Linked DNA regions of Bombyx mori. The protein of the gene in region 3 purifies or fractionates together with the protein of the main gene of each other region. This does not show direct contact. Links are inferred from orthologs where the notes say so. Each region holds a gene or a part of one and is shown on either strand. Other genes may lie near its edges.

Evidence for each region.
Region 1: the proteins of DNA replication licensing factor MCM4 (region 3) and splicing factor 3A subunit 1 fractionate together in Homo sapiens (co-fractionation; 3 studies listed by BioGRID, with this or other methods). This does not show direct contact. The link is inferred for Bombyx mori from reciprocal best matches to the Homo sapiens genes MCM4 and SF3A1.
Region 2: the proteins of DNA replication licensing factor MCM4 (region 3) and serine/threonine-protein kinase polo purify together in Homo sapiens (affinity purification with mass spectrometry; 3 studies listed by BioGRID and IntAct, with this or other methods). This does not show direct contact. The link is inferred for Bombyx mori from reciprocal best matches to the Homo sapiens genes MCM4 and PLK1.

Annotation. Positions count from the first base shown.
Region 1 is NC_085112.1:2,361,418-2,366,290, reverse strand, and holds the end of splicing factor 3A subunit 1, read right to left. Parts: exon of another isoform or gene 4,187-4,873; coding exon of another isoform or gene 3,395-4,186; exon of another isoform or gene 2,713-3,394; coding exon 2,490-2,712; intron 2,091-2,489; coding exon 1,927-2,090; intron 865-1,926; coding exon 709-864; intron 504-708; coding exon 402-503; 3' UTR 228-401; downstream 1-227. Other genes in the region: transmembrane protease serine 3-like, read right to left, coding at 3,395-4,186. UniProt on the Homo sapiens protein: Component of the 17S U2 SnRNP complex of the spliceosome, a large ribonucleoprotein complex that removes introns from transcribed pre-mRNAs.
Region 2 is NC_085121.1:12,624,379-12,629,695, forward strand, and holds the end of serine/threonine-protein kinase polo, read left to right. Parts: intron 1-88; coding exon 89-281; intron 282-483; coding exon of another isoform or gene 484-594; intron 595-1,327; coding exon 1,328-1,554; intron 1,555-2,157; coding exon 2,158-2,294; intron 2,295-2,879; coding exon 2,880-3,061; intron 3,062-3,533; coding exon 3,534-3,667; intron 3,668-3,829; coding exon 3,830-3,942; intron 3,943-4,040; coding exon 4,041-4,235; downstream 4,236-5,317. UniProt on the Homo sapiens protein: Serine/threonine-protein kinase that performs several important functions throughout M phase of the cell cycle, including the regulation of centrosome maturation and spindle assembly, the removal of cohesins from chromosome arms, the inactivation of anaphase-promoting complex/cyclosome (APC/C) inhibitors, and the regulation of mitotic exit and cytokinesis.
Region 3 is NC_085125.1:2,550,041-2,555,656, reverse strand, and holds the start of DNA replication licensing factor MCM4, read right to left. Parts: upstream 3,459-5,616; 5' UTR 3,314-3,458; coding exon 3,184-3,313; intron 1-3,183. UniProt on the Homo sapiens protein: Acts as a component of the MCM2-7 complex (MCM complex) which is the replicative helicase essential for 'once per cell cycle' DNA replication initiation and elongation in eukaryotic cells.

The sequences.
Region 1 (4,873 bases), on a different chromosome or scaffold from region 3:
ATATCTATGGGCTCCAGTAACCACTTAACCCAGATGGGCTGTGAGTTCGTCGAACCATGTAAGAAAAAAAAAGCTGAGACACCGTGACTTAAACCGTATTGTCGGTCATTGATCAGCTGGCGATCCTCAAGATACTTCAAGAGTTCACATATATTCTTATTGGGAATAAGAGGTCTTGGATTAGGGGTGTGATAGGTCAGGGTTACCAACAATAAATAATTACAATATTATTTGGTAAATATTTAATTTTCCCACCATTAGATAATTTCAATGAATCTTTTTATCACGACTAACGTAACAACCTATTGACTGAATGTCAATATTCTGATGTAAATTCTGTATTAATTCTTCCAACGTGTTTCGCAGTCCCTTATCATTAACTTTTATAGTATTTTTTTGTATTATTTCTTTCTACCGCCTCGTTCCTTGATCTGTAGCTGTATGACGGCACCCGGGGGCACGTTGTAGTACGCCAAGCTGTTAGTATCCTTGAAGAACAGACCCTGGAACAATACTTATATATTATCTGATGGAAGATTCTGCGAAGCACAGCTCTTGCTAGGGTTCGTGTTAGCAACAACGTCAGATTTGAGCCCCATGAGCTCACCTATTCGCCTGACGCTAATATGGTCTGTCAAAACCGGGGAAAAAATATGGCTAATCATTTGTTACGGTGAGCTATGCGAGTATTTGAGCGTGTCGGGATACCTCGTAGTGCAGCTTCTGCTTGGCGGTGGGCATGTTGGTGGCGCGCTGCAGCATGGCCTTGAGCTCGGCGACGGCGGCCGACAGCGGCAGCGTCAGCGGCACCGCGCGCCCGTCCAGCCGCCACTCCGCGCGCTCAGGCGCCGCCGGCAACGACACCTGCCGACACAAGGGACAAGGGCATTAGGGTACAATATCATACAATTAACATAATGCATTCCTGGTGGTAGGACGTCTTGTGAGTCCGCACGGGTAGGTACCACCACTCTAGGGCCCTGAAAACATCCTTGGGCCCGCAGTCTCGCAGTCGCGGACCAGTCCCACGTACCTACCCCGCGCGCCTCCTAAGCGCGGAGACCTCGTAGGAGGTACGGGTGCTTTTCAGTATATTATCAAAATAGCCCTTCTACTCATATCTGTTCATAAAATATTTATAACTATTGATACAGTGCGCCCCACGATTTTTTTACAATAATATAATTTTTTCTTAGACTATTTTTAATTAAAATTTATTTTCTATTTTTTTAGTTGAATTTTAATTTATTAATTTTTTTTTTCAATATTTCAAAACTTTCATCTGATACAGTCGGTAACTTATCCGAGAAATAGGTAATCAGCGGGCCTGGTGGTTTCCCATCTTGGTTTTGACGCAGACACTCAGGGTCTCAGGAAAACAAAAAATCGCTATTCCTGATTATCCTAGTAAGGATAACGAGTCTAATTGTTTAAAATATTGAATTTTAATCGGTCCTTAATAAGTATGCCAAATTTCGAATCAATCTGACGTTTTGAAGGGGGTCAAAATCATGTTCAAAGATTCCGTTACTTACTAACATACGTATGAAGCTAATAAAACCGTATTAAATTAGAGCACTTCTGTCTACATATTAATATTGGGGGTATATTAATAATACGCGCGGGTGGGTACCACCACCGTGCCTATTTCTGCCGTGAAGCAGTAATGCGTTTCGGTTTGAAGGGTGGGGCAGCCGTTGTAACTATACTTAGACCTTAGAACTTATATCTCAAGGTGGGTGGCGCATTTACGTTGTAGATGTATATGGGCTTCAGTAACCACTTAACATCAGGTCGGCTGTAAGCTCGTCCACCCCTCTGAGCAATAAAAAAAAATAAAAAAACACTGGACCGATTTTCTATTTGTTTGTAGTTGTAATGTTTGTTAGCGTAAGAGCAATCATTGTAGTGTTACTGGTAGCCCACCTGCAGGGGGACTGCGCCGGGGTGGCGCGCGAGCCAGGCGCCCTCGGGCTCCAGCGCGTCCTCGGTGCGGGCTCTCTTAGCGGCCGGGCCCTCGTCCTCGGGCTCCGCCACTGTGCCCGGAGGGACTACCGCTCCGAAGTTGAACGCCGGCGGTGGTACTGCACCTAAGGCGATGCAATCACATTATTGGTACAAAATGTACTGAGCGGATGTGTTATGCAAGAAGCACACACAATATTTGGATAGTTGCATGCATTACTGGCACGCGAATCTACAGCTCAACTGGCGTTAGGTGGGGTCCAACACACCGTGGGTGCACAGACCGAAGCCGATACTCACCGACCCACGATGGGTCGGTCCCCTGCACAGAACACTTTGACCATATGATCCCCTCACAGCGATCACATTCAGATGTCACTTTACTCTATCATTCCATCAACTCTTCCTCTAATCTGTAGCTTAACTCCCTAAGACTACATGTACATTGTCCGGCACCAGTAAATCAGGCACGCGATCTTAGCGCCATGTTGTACGGAATGTGTGCAGTGTTCGAGTATACGTACCCACTGGAGCCGGTATGAGCGGAGGTCGGGGCGCCATGGGGGGCAGGACCATTAGCGAGGACATCGGCTGCAGCAGCACAGGCGGTGCCGGGGGCGGGGGAGGCGGAGCAGCGCGGGGGGCAGAGGGGGGCGCGGGGGGACGCCCCGCCCGGCTCTGGGCTGCCCCGGTCACTGGCTTCGGACCTATTTTCTCTTTCTCCTCGTCGGGGAGTAGACCTTTAACCTGAATTGTAATCAATCGTAATGAGTATCTTAAACGAGTTTCGAAGAGAATGTTGCAATAGTATTTCTTATTATGCTCGTTAAAAAAGTGTATCTTCAAATAACCTAAGCTATTACGTCATGTTTACCATTATACAATTTCCTTACTATTTGGAAATGCAGTAAGAAGTTACTAAGGCGTATGTCGCAGAGAGCATGGAACAATTATTTGAACAAACTAATGGCCAACTCCAGGTCAACAGCTTCACGGAACCTATAAACATCAGATATAGTTCACCAAATGAATTCCATGAATTCCGCCACCTCCCTTTATTACAAGTGTTATGTATAGATATTAAATCGCATTATAAAATGGCGGGTAGATGCAAAAATAAACCAGTCTGCTTTGGAATCTTTCATTTGTGCATACACAACAGTATAAGCTAAGCAAGTAAAATAACGAGAAGATAAAACATTGATCCAACACAAGCCCGAAGCGTACAAAGTTAGTCAGTGTAAAATATCAATACTTTAGTGAGCAGGCTTAACTAAAGGCGGGTAATCATCAAGTTAACTGAGCATTTTTAATTGCTTTTAAAAGCTAAATACAAATAAAGCTCATAAACAAACACTTTTATTGAGAAAACAATACAAATTTCATCCGTTCACTGAAGCTTCTGACACCAATCTTACACTAGCTACTATTAGCTCTTGATATGAGTATGAATCCAATCTATATATGGCACAATTGAAGTCATTGTCTCAATTTGATAGGCCTGCTGTCTCTCATTGTTCTCCAAGCAGTCCCTCTTGCGTCCACTGGCCAGGAGTGCTATGACCCCGGTGCTGTGGATGGCTATACCTCCAGTTTCCTGGTGACAAGCGTCGGTCAACGAGCAGGACCGAGCCAAACACATCCCCGGATAAGTAACGGTGCCTTCACAAGTCTTCACCACAACCGATGAAATCTGTAGAGTTCTCTTCAATTTTCCACTGGTATCATTGGTCGACTTGAAGCCTATTAGCTCAACTTCGTAACCGTTCATAGAGAACATGTCAACGGCGCTCAATTTGGCGAACTGTTTAAGGGTGATGGGATCGGTGCGCAGAAGGCCGATGTCGTTGTGAAGCATTCTCGGTGACGCGGCATATCTGGGGTGGACTATTCCGGAAAGGATCGCGATGGCGGTGTCCTGGGAAGGTTTCTGCGTGAGTCCATAGTACACCACCCATGACATCTTCGGATCCTGGATTAGCAAGTCTTCGGTTTTGGAGACGCAGCGCGCGGTGGTCAGGGTCCAGGTCGGGGTCAGCACGCACCCCGAGCACAGCAGAGCGTTCGTCGTAGTATTCGTGAGTTTTAACTCGACCGTCACAACGTACGGGTACTCATCTTCTAAAGCATCTCTGCCTGTGCGCAGTGATTTCGTGCAAACCACAATATTTACAGTTTGCAAAACGAAATATAACATTAGATTCAATGCCACAATACCCATTATGTATTACAATGTTGTTCAACATAAGAGAAATACAATACACGTGAAACATTTTTATTGTTTTTCTGTTTTAATGTTTTATATTTTATTGACGAGATTTTTATTACGCGCTGTGCAATGTTATTCGCGATCGGGTTTCCCAGCAGTTTGATTGATATTTTATTTGTTTAAGGCATTTACGATAGTTTATGAAAACTTTTTTCTGGCACAGTGGGGGTGGGGAAATGTGTTAGTGCTTGTCCTTTTGGGAATACGCTGCCACAAACACAAGTAACTGAGTTTCTTTCACCGGGTCTTCTCATTGGGCCGTGATTCCGACCCGATGGTAGATTCTGCGAAGCACTGTGCTTGCTAGGGCTAGTTTTAGTAAATTCTCTCAGGATGAGCCCAGGGAGCTCACCTACCGGTCCGTGAGTAGTTAGAATAGCCCTTTAGGGTACCGACGATTAGGTAAGCAAAAAAATGCAAGCCCTTTCCTGCATTGAAGGAATCAGGGTTGAAGCCAATGTTCAATGAATCCAATGATTTTTTTATATATCATAATAATACCCTTTTTTGATTCATCCTACTTAATATTATAAATGTGAAAGTGTGTAAGAATGTATAGACATATTCAGAAAAGTACTTCGTAATTTTTCGGAAAAGTTCGTATTTATCGTGCTCTCTCAGTGCAATGACATTATTCAT
Region 2 (5,317 bases), on a different chromosome or scaffold from region 3:
TAAACATGAAGTGTGCGCCCATAGTTGTAATTCTGATGCTAAGGATTTCTCGTTTTTGAACTTGAAACAACAAAATGAACTTTCATAGGAGAGAGAAAACAGACTCTGTGTGGTACCCCAAACTACATTGCCCCTGAGATATTAACAAAGAAGGGCCACTCATTTGAAGTGGATATCTGGAGTCTGGGCTGCATCATGTACACGCTGCTTGTTGGCAAACCGCCGTTTGAGACGTCCACCCTCAAGGATACATACAAAAGGATTAAACAGTGCGAATACAGGTGATTTTTTTTTAATATAAATCTGTATGGATATCATCATTATTATAGTATTAAAAAGTATATATAGAATATTGATTTCAGCATTGATTACAATACGAAAAATATATACGTGATCATGGATAACATGTTATGTTAATATATTATATTTTAGAAAGTTATCAAAGAGAATATTAACAATAGATAATGTTATTGTTCCAACCAGTGAGGCAGTAGAGGTAGCGATGCGCGTTTGTCTCGGGGGCCCTTGGAACCATTTACGTAGTCGCTACGCGCGAACGTTAATCGACGATAACACCCTCAAACTACAATACAGGTGCATCATGGGGTGCTAGAGAAATATGGCACTTTATAATATATATTTGTCAACATAAAATTACTTAACGCTTATTCTTCCTTTTAAAATGACTTCAAAATATCCAACCAAATTCCTTTGATTCTATAAACTATTTGGCAAACATTAGTGCCATATTTTGACTTTTGCACCATCAAACTAGGGTGAAGGGTGATCATGATGTGCAGCTTTATGTATTGTGGATATTTCTAACGTCTGCTTAACTTACAACACAAGTCATACTTAGTCTTAGTAATGTAAAAAATGTTTCTAATTTCGAATCTAAATGTATTTCAATCTCAATCATTAAAATTTAAAACAGCACTAAGTTTAAAATTATTACTAGGAATTATTAATAACGCAATATTATAAAACAAACTATGTACTACTTACTATACTATATAATATGTTGAAACTGAATTAGGAAAATAATACTATTTGTATATAGAGTTCCTAATTCTAAGAGTTAAAGTAACTTTTTGTTATTAACTGAGAAATTTGGTCACTAGAGCCAACACTTCACTCGATTGTCAACCAGAGCCAGGCACCAGACTACAATGTGATCATTCGTGTTGTAGTCTGGTGCAGGCCTAGTGTTATAAAATTGACATCCCTGTTGGTATAGCTCTATGACTACTGTTCTTCTGGCCTTCTAATATAACAATTCCCTTGGTCTTCACGTTTGTCGATCTCGAACAATCAAATATATCTTCAGGATTCCGTCGTCGCTTCGCAAACCGGCGGCGTCCATGATTGTACTGCAGTTGCAATCGAACCCTGCGCGTCGTCCGTCCGTGGACAAACTTCTGCAGCATGAATTCTTCTCATCGGGGATTTTGCCAGCCGGGCTGCCCGTCTCTTGCCTCACCACAGCGCCGCGCACTGACCAGCTCGAGGGCATGCTGGTACACCGCCGCCCTCTTAACGAAGTTCATGCTAACGGTGCATATATTGTAATTTATTTAATCGCAGGCTAGACTTCGAGACTTTCTCCCTCATAAATTGATGAGGGAGAGTTCAATAATAATTAAAGAAATTATAGTTTTAAATGGTAAAATATCATCGCAGTTACGATGAACACTAAAGAATATGTCGGATATGCGCGGATCTTTATTAATGACCCGACAGACTTCGTAGTGCCTCAATCGATAAATAAAAAAAAGACCTAAACTTTTGCATAAAATAAACTTAAAACAAACAAAAGGAATCCGTTTGACGGGGTACACATCAAAGAAAAACAAAATTGTTATTTTTATTCAATTCTGAGCATTTTCATATTTAAACCTTCTCTGGACTTCCACAAATAATTCTAGACCAAAATTAGCCAAATCGGTCAAGCCGTTCTCGAGTTTTAGCGAGACTAACGAACAGCAATTCATTTTTATATATATAGATAGATAGATAGAAGATTCATTAAGGAGCACTTATGCACATCAAAATCTTCATAGAATCAAAAAAGCAGCATTTTTCTCCTTTTATAATTAGCTACTTTAAAATTCAACATAAATGAATTGACATTTATAATACGTACTTTCAATTGAATAGAACAAGAGACGATGGCAGTGGACTCGCCCGTCAAACGCGAAGCTACCCCCGCGGGGCCACGAGCTGTGGAACCAACGTCGCACCGCCAGAATTTTATTGCACTGCGAGACCAGCTCGCTGCATTGTTGGTTAACAAGGTAAAATATAGTTTTTTTTTATATTAATACTAGCGACCCGCCTTCGCTTCGCTTCGGAAACATTAAATTTTATTATTAATTAATAGCTGAGTCTCGCGATGTTACCCGCGGTTATTGTCGTACCGCGAGTGAGGCCGCGGGGCGAAGCTAGTCTTAAAAAAGTAGCCTAAGTTACTCCTTATATCATCAGCTACCTATCAGTGAAAGTCTCGTCAAAATGGTCTAGCCGTTCCAGAGATTAGCCGGAACAAACAGACCGACAAAAATTGTTAAAAATGTTATTTTGGTATATGTACCGTATATATATTCATATTATGCGCTTAGTAAAAAGCGGTTATTTCAATATTACAAATAGACACTCCAATTTTATTTATATGTATAGATGAGAAAAAATACCTATGGTCTAAATAACATTTAATAGGCTCTAGTTTTGAAATAGGGCAGGACCGTGCTATGAACTGGTATACGCTGATAACCTTATCATAAGTAGAAATAAATTGATAAACTCTTCATCTTATGGAACTTTTGTAACTTAATTATAAACAACTAGTTTGACTGTATGTTGGCATTTTCTATAACTTTTAGCTGAAATGCCGACCGGAGGCTCTGACAGACGAGCTGAGCGATCCCGCAGCACAGCCGCTGGTGTGGGTTGGCAAGTGGGTCGACTACAGCGACAAATACGGATTCGGATACCAGCTCTGCGACGAGAGCGTCGGTGTCATGTTCAACGATACTACCAAGCTTATCATGCTCGCTAATGGACTGTAAGTTTACGTTTAATATAAATATTAGATGATAATATCAGATATACATATTTTTAATTATATTATATTATAGTAGTATACAACAGGCGCTTGCAACAGTTTCGAACTCACTAAAATTCGAAATCACGTTCGAATCACTAAAGCTTAAAATAGTTTTTTTTTTTATATCTTTATAATGAGAATCAAAGTATAATATGTCATAAAACGAATGCATTGCACACTCAAAATTAGAATCAAATCATAGCTCACACAAACTTTAAACATATTTTGAAGAAAAAAAATTCGCAATACACTTTTTTATACAAGTGATAAGAATCCATAGACATCATAATATGTTAATAGCATATTCCTTGCGGCGTGATTCTCAATTGTTTTGTATTATGACTGTAATGTGCAGATTAGCAAGCAACAAAATCTTCATATTGCTATCTGAAAAAATAAAAGGAGATCTGCATAAACTATCCTTTTTCAGGAATGTGCACTACATCAATCGGCAGGGCCAAGAGCAGTACATGACGATGCGCGATTACCCGCAAGAACTCGACAAAAAAATGAAACTCCTTACATACTTTAGACGATACATGACCGAACATCTCATGAAAGCTGGTAAATTTTTCAACATCCATTGTCATCACTAAAGCATATAAATCAAATAGAATATTCAGAAAACAAAATGTGTGAGCAATAGTTTTCTTATGGCATGAGTAACTAATGTATTCATACTTAACAACAATGTTATCGCTTTTAAATAAATTTACCATTATCCAGGTGCTTCAGTACCAGTGCGAGAGAGTGATGGTCTGTCTCGTTTGCCACATTTACACCAGTGGTTTCGAACAACTTTAGCTGTTATTATGTACCTGACTAATGGAACTTTACAGGTTAGTAGAATTATATTTTAATGCTGTTGGCATATAATTTTTATTGATCTGTTATATTTCTTTCTCATCATGATTGTTTTTTTTTTCTAATATTACAGATAAACTTCCAAGATCACACAAAGATAATACTGTGTCCACTTATGCAAGCTGTCACCTACATAGATATAGAGAAGAATTTCAGAACATTCCGCTTTAATACCATTGAAGAGCATGGCTGTGATAAAAAGCTTTACACAAACCTCACATATGCATTGGAAAAACTAAACAGTGTATTGGCAAACAAACTGTGCTAGTTTTCACTGAACCTAAATGAGTAAATGAATTTGTGGGCTTTGTGGAAAGCTCCAATGAAGAACTGTGTAAACCAAGAGACCCTGCTTATGTAAATAGCAAAAAAGTTTGAAATCACTACAAATTTTCATCATTCTGTTCTTATTGATTGAGATAGTCTGTACTTGATAAAAAAAATCTTTACACTTAAATTTCCTAGGGTCTCCTACTTTTCTAAAATAAAAATTATATTACCTTTTGTATTTTTAGGATAGTCACCAGTATATTATAATTTAATAGAAGGGTCACTAAAATCAATTTTGTACCCTAAAATTTCAAACTTAGGTTAAAAATCCACCGATACTGTCTATTTATTTAGTAAATACTTTTTAATGATTTAGCATCAAATTATTTTGCCGATTCAGTATATGAGCAAAACTTTCGACTTTTTTTTTTATTCTTTAAATATGTGTCTTTGGTTGTTAATACATATTATATTCCATTTGATGCAAAACTTACTGACTTTGCCATTTCAGGGAATGATTTGATTTCTATCTACATATTTCTAAACATCTACAATAATTGATGGAAGAATAAATTTAATTTTAGATTTTAATTTGATTGCCATTTTAAAAGCGCCCTTTGACAGGGGCTGTGGTGCGATATCAAGAAAGTTTGGAGTTATTTAGTTTTATAACTATATTTTTATAACATTTTGTTTTGTGCTTCAACAGCATCAATTACAAATTGTTTCATGTTCGTAATGAAATAAAATTAATGTAATTCAGCAAGTGTTCAATATTTAGTCGTTAGAATTCGTTATGCGTGAAAAGAAATCGATTCAGTACTGTATGTATCAATTTCATTTTGCAACTTGAAAGTTTGGTGGATGGTCTGCTGCTACCTCGTGGATTAACATAAACTATAAGTACTTGACAATAAAGTTACACAAAACAATTGTTGGAGTTAGTTTAAAATCTTCTTGTACTTAAGATAAATACAAATAAAAATTTGAGAACTGAGTAAAGTGTAAACCATGACCTAAGTTTCTTCGGTCAACTCTCATTGGAACGCGTGTAGTACAGGCCCATCATTTAATAACTTA
Region 3 (5,616 bases):
GATCCTAATATTACACCTATTGAATGGGCTACACCCACAGTTAACATTCTGAAATCTACAGGGGAAGTTAGGATATGTGGAGACTACAGAACTACACTTAATCCAGTACTTATTAAACACCTACACCCAGTTCCGATTTTCGATCAACTACGCCAAAATCTCGCAAACGGTAAATTATTTTCAAAAATAGACCTTAAAGACGCATACTTACAATTTGAAATAGCACCAGATTCGAAAAAGTACTTGACGTTGTCAACCCATAAAGGGTATTTCCAATACAATAGAATGCCTTTTGGAATATCGACTGCTCCTTCAATTTTTCAACATTTTCTGGATCAACTGCTAGGTGATATCACCAATGTAGCTGTATATTTTGACGACATAGCTATAGCAGGGAAAGATCTTTCAGAACATTTACAAACTTTATCTATTGTACTCGATCGCTTACAAAACGCTGGCCTAAAAGTTAACTTAAAGAAATGTAATTTCTTACAGAATCAGATTGAATACCTAGGTCACATAATAGATAAACATGGCATCCACCCAACCAAATCTAAAATTGATGCCATAACTAAGGCCCCAGCACCGTGTAATGCAAAAGAACTACGATCATTTTTAGGACTAGTTAATTTTTACGAACGGTTTGTACCACATCTTCACGGGATTTGTTCGGATCTTCACGATCTAACTAGTGAAAAAAATAGATGGCGTTGGACTGATCATGAAAACAGAATATTTGAAGATACAAAGAAATGCATAACTTCTTCACAACCATTAATTGCATTTGACGAGAAACGTCCCCTTTATTTAGCATGTGACGCTTCCGAAAAGGGATTGGGTGCAGTATTATTCCACAAGGACTCGAACATAGAACAACCAATTGCTTTTGCTTCAAGGAAACTACGACCAGCGGAAATGAAATATTCCGTTATTGATCGTGAAGCTTTAGCAATAGTATTTGGTATAAAAAAATTTGATCAGTACTTGAGAGGAACGAAATTTAATCTAGTTACGGACCATAAGCCTCTTATACATATTATGGGTGCACACCGCAACCTTCCTAAACTAGCCAATAACCGATTGGTAAGATGGGCCCTAGTAGTGGGAAGTTATCAATATGACATTTACTACAGGAAAGGTGAAAATAACACATTAGCTGATTGCCTTTCCAGATTACCAAACCCTGAAACTGAACCCTCCGAGACAGAAGGGCTTGTACATAAAATAGATCTACGTCTTTTGAGCACTCGAATGACTGACCTTAATCTATCAGAACAGTTACTTATGAAAACAACTTCAAAGGATCATATACTCACAAAAGTTTGTCAAAATTTAAAAACCGGCTGGAGAGAATCAGATTACAATCCAGAAATGAAACCATTCTACAGAAACCGGACTGAATTATCTGTTGAGAATAAGATACTTATGAGGCAAGGACGCATCGTTATACCTACAGCACTCCGAAAAACCATTCTTACATACCTTCATCGAGGACATCCTGGCATTTCTGCTATGAAAGCACTTTCACGTTACTATGTTTGGTGGCCTAACCTTGACGAAGACATAGAATTATTTGTCAAGAAATGTACCAGATGCCAACAGAACCGCCCTTGTAATCCTGAACTTCCTGTATTTTCCTGGTCCATACCAGAAGAAGTATGGGAGAGAATCCATATCGACTTTGCTGGACCGTTCGAAGGATCGTATTGGTTGGTATTGTGCGACGCTCTCTCCAAATGGGTGGAAATACGACCGATGAAACACATCAACACCAGATCACTTTGTCTTACATTAGATAACATATTTTGTACATTTGGCTTACCAAAAATGATTATATCCGATAATGGACCTCAATTTACATCTTATGAATTTAAAGAATATTGCACAAAACAATCTATTTTACATGTCACATCATCTCCATATCATCCTCGGACAAATGGGCTGGCAGAACGTTTAGTCAGAACATTCAAAAATAGAATGGCATCGGTAGACAACACAAATCTCGAGCGCCGACTATTAGAATTTTTGTTTACATACAGAAACACTCCGCACTCGTCCACTGGTAAATCTCCAGCTGAGATGATGTTTGGACGACAATTGAATTGCATACTTTCCAACATTCGGCCAGACAAAAGAAGATTAATGCAGTATTTACAAGTAAAAGAAAACATTCGTACCACATCACCGAGTTACCGACCAAGTGACCAAGTATATATTAAAACACGCAATGATAAAATATGGGAACCAGCGGTAATTACATCCCGAAAACATAAATATTCATATATTGTTTCAACACCAGGAGGACTAGAAAAACGAAGACACGCTGATCACATCAGGCCACGCGAGTCTTCCACCTCAGAAACCCCGAGGAATAAAAGGGCGCATTCTTCTATGCTGCCGACGACTGCTTCTCCAGACATTGGAATGGAAACATCAATTAGCGAAAGGCTAACTAACAATAAGAATTCGGCAGCAGTACTATTACCTACACCGCAGTCGCCTACAAATGTACAAATTTCTCCAAATTCACCTTCACAGCATTCGAAGTTATACTCCTCACCTGCTCCGGTCTCCACTCCTGTGCCATTTGCTCCGCGTCGAAGTAATCGACCTAAACAGGCACCCCGCCGTCTGATCAACGAGATGTAGATGGGGAGGAATGTTGTAACCTTCTTTTCCATATTCCATTATTTGAAATATACTTCAAACACATTGTCATTTTTGCTACCTATCATTATTATATTTTTATGCTATGTCTTGAAAACATTGTTTTATTATATTAACTTGAACTTATTATTTTATATTAATATTTTTATGACATTAGAGACTAGACTTTATTGTCCAAAGCGGGTGCTAGCATTTAGGTTGTGATGTCTAGTCTACTTTAATCAATTAACAGATGTCTGCCTGTTTAAAACATGATAAAATTCGAATGCTGTTTTATTTAGTTAAATATTACGCTGTAAGCCTTTTATTCCCTTATGTATTATATGTATGAAATTTTAAAAAGTTAAATATAAATTGATAAAAGAGGTTAAATGTTAAGATGAAATAAGTACAGCAGAATTAAACTAAAATTTTACAAAACAAATTTTAGTTTAATTTGTTTGTAATTCTAAATAAAAGTTTATATACAAATGTACAATTGTTTTAAATCTTAATGATTCTGTTGTCAACTCTCACCTTTCGAAGGTGTGCCGGTTGAACGCTGCGGAGTCTCCGGAACGATAACTTGTTGTGAGGATCGCGTTCTTCGTGGAGTCGATGCTTCCGATGATGCACGCGACGACGGGCGTTTAGATGGTGTAGACATTTTTAACTTCACACTCGTTTTTTAACACAACTTACTATAAAAAATAATTAGCAACAAGTTTTAAACAACACCGAAGCAGCATTTGTTTTGGAACTTTAGAAGTCTTGGCGCGAATTGTTGACAGCTGACATTGTCGTTCGTTATAATCGGTTTCGTTCGTCAGACAAGTAAAGGGAATATCGCCCGATACCTTGAAAATTTCTGTGATACGATTGAACCCAAAAATGGAAACTTCGCGAATTTACAGGTGAAATTAGGTTACAACTAAATGAAGCGGACTGCAACAATTTCATTAGAGAAGGAATAAAATAGCCTCTAAGTAAATTAAGAAATAAAAAGGTAGATTTGAATTTCCAATTTACTAAGTATTCAATGGACTTTTTGGAAAAACCCGAAAAGCCACGACCAGTGACTTTATTCTTCATTTTTCTACATTCATGGATTTTTACAAATCTATATCTGAAGATACACAAAGTGAACAAAACACTATAATTTATAGAGCTGGACACTTCACATTCCTCCAAAAGGTCGGCTTGTAGATGACTCACGATAGTTTGCTGTCAGTTTGAAACCGGTGAATGCAACCATTATATATTGCGACTTGTGTAGAGGTTTGGGCATGTACACAAATTAATATTGTTCATCACCTACGTTTTAGTGATACTATCAACTCAACTTATTTTTAGTTCTTTTCTTGGTGGATAGTCAGTAGCAATTTTATTAAGTAAGAAAAATAGGATTAATTGTACCGCGTGAGCGGTCCCAGTTTAAGCAAAGTTCGGATGTGACCGTTCAGACTGTTTAAAACGCTATGCCCTATTTCATAAATGCTGTTGCACCACCCTTCTTTGGAAACGATTAGGCCGTTGACAGCAAATTCTACCCCTCTTGGTTTAAACAGAGCTCACTTTCCTATCGTGTTAAAGCCTACAGGCCATCAGCAATCACGCGATCACGGAAAGATAATTAAGTGGGCAAAGGTGCAATTGATACTAAACGAGATAACAGAAACAATTTTATTTGGTAATACCGAGGACTAAGCCATGCTGCATAAGAAAATATGTTTTAAGAAAAAAAGGTTCATCATTGCCGATTAATAGCGATTTTTACCCTATTGAATGTCAACTTACCACAGACAATGAAGTTTGTTTTTTAAATCAATTGATCGTTCATTCACCTTCACCGCTGATGTTTTTGTGGTGTTATTTTATGTTAAAATAAATAAAAATGATAATTGCTATGTAACAGCAACTCTGACTGTTGTGTAGTAAATTTGATCAAGTGCAATATAATAAAGGAACGTTGATAAATGCACGAAAAATATTCACGTCCCGGTGGGTTTGTTTCGCCTACCTGCATTGGACGTAGAATATTTCGTGCTTATTTGTCGGTGACTGGACATATGATTTATAATTAAATGGACAAGTAGAAAGTGCGCTGATGCGTAGTACGTATGTTAACAAGTGAATAAGCGCTTATACAAGATTCGAACAATATTCGGTAAGTGCAATTGAATGATTCATACGAGATATGCATTGAAAAGGTCCCTCGAAACTGTTCGTAATTGTTCCTTTGTGCTCTTACATGTTTACGTTCGCAGATAAGATATTTTTAGTCGTGCATTCAAATATAGAATGCATTGACATTGTTGCAGTGAGGTGCTGTAGTTTGAATTTTTTTTCTATGCATCGCATATGCATTTCGGTGCATTTCAAGGCTAATGACCGCGGTATTGTTTAGTTCGGAGCGCTCATTGCCTCAATTGAAAACTGTTAAAATATCCTTCCAATTCATTAACGTTCTTTAACATGGCAAATAAATGTTTTTTAATGTAAGATTTTTAAAAAATACTTCCAAATATAAATCATCCAGACCTTAAAAAACTTTATGTACAGAAACAATCTTTATTTATCAAACAGGTTGAACAGCCTTATCAGCTCTGCAAGTCCATTTAAAAATGATCCTTATAAATGATATCATTAAAGGGTAGATTTGGTGAATAGCAATTTATCTTCAAGTATAGTCCATTAAAAGCACAAAAAGAAAGTTTTTTGCTATTGAAATTGTAATGTTTATAAGTGCTTATGTTTATGTTAATTACCCATAAAATGTGTACCAATTAGAAAGTAGTTTACAGCAATATATTCATAAATGTTTGGACTCATAATTTCTATTCATCTCTAATGTAAACAGTTAATAAAATAAAAAAGTTTCATACTTCCAAACCACATATAGAAAAGAGGCATGTTTTTAGTGAAATAGCACAGCCATTACATAATAAAACTAAAACTTTTATTGCATCT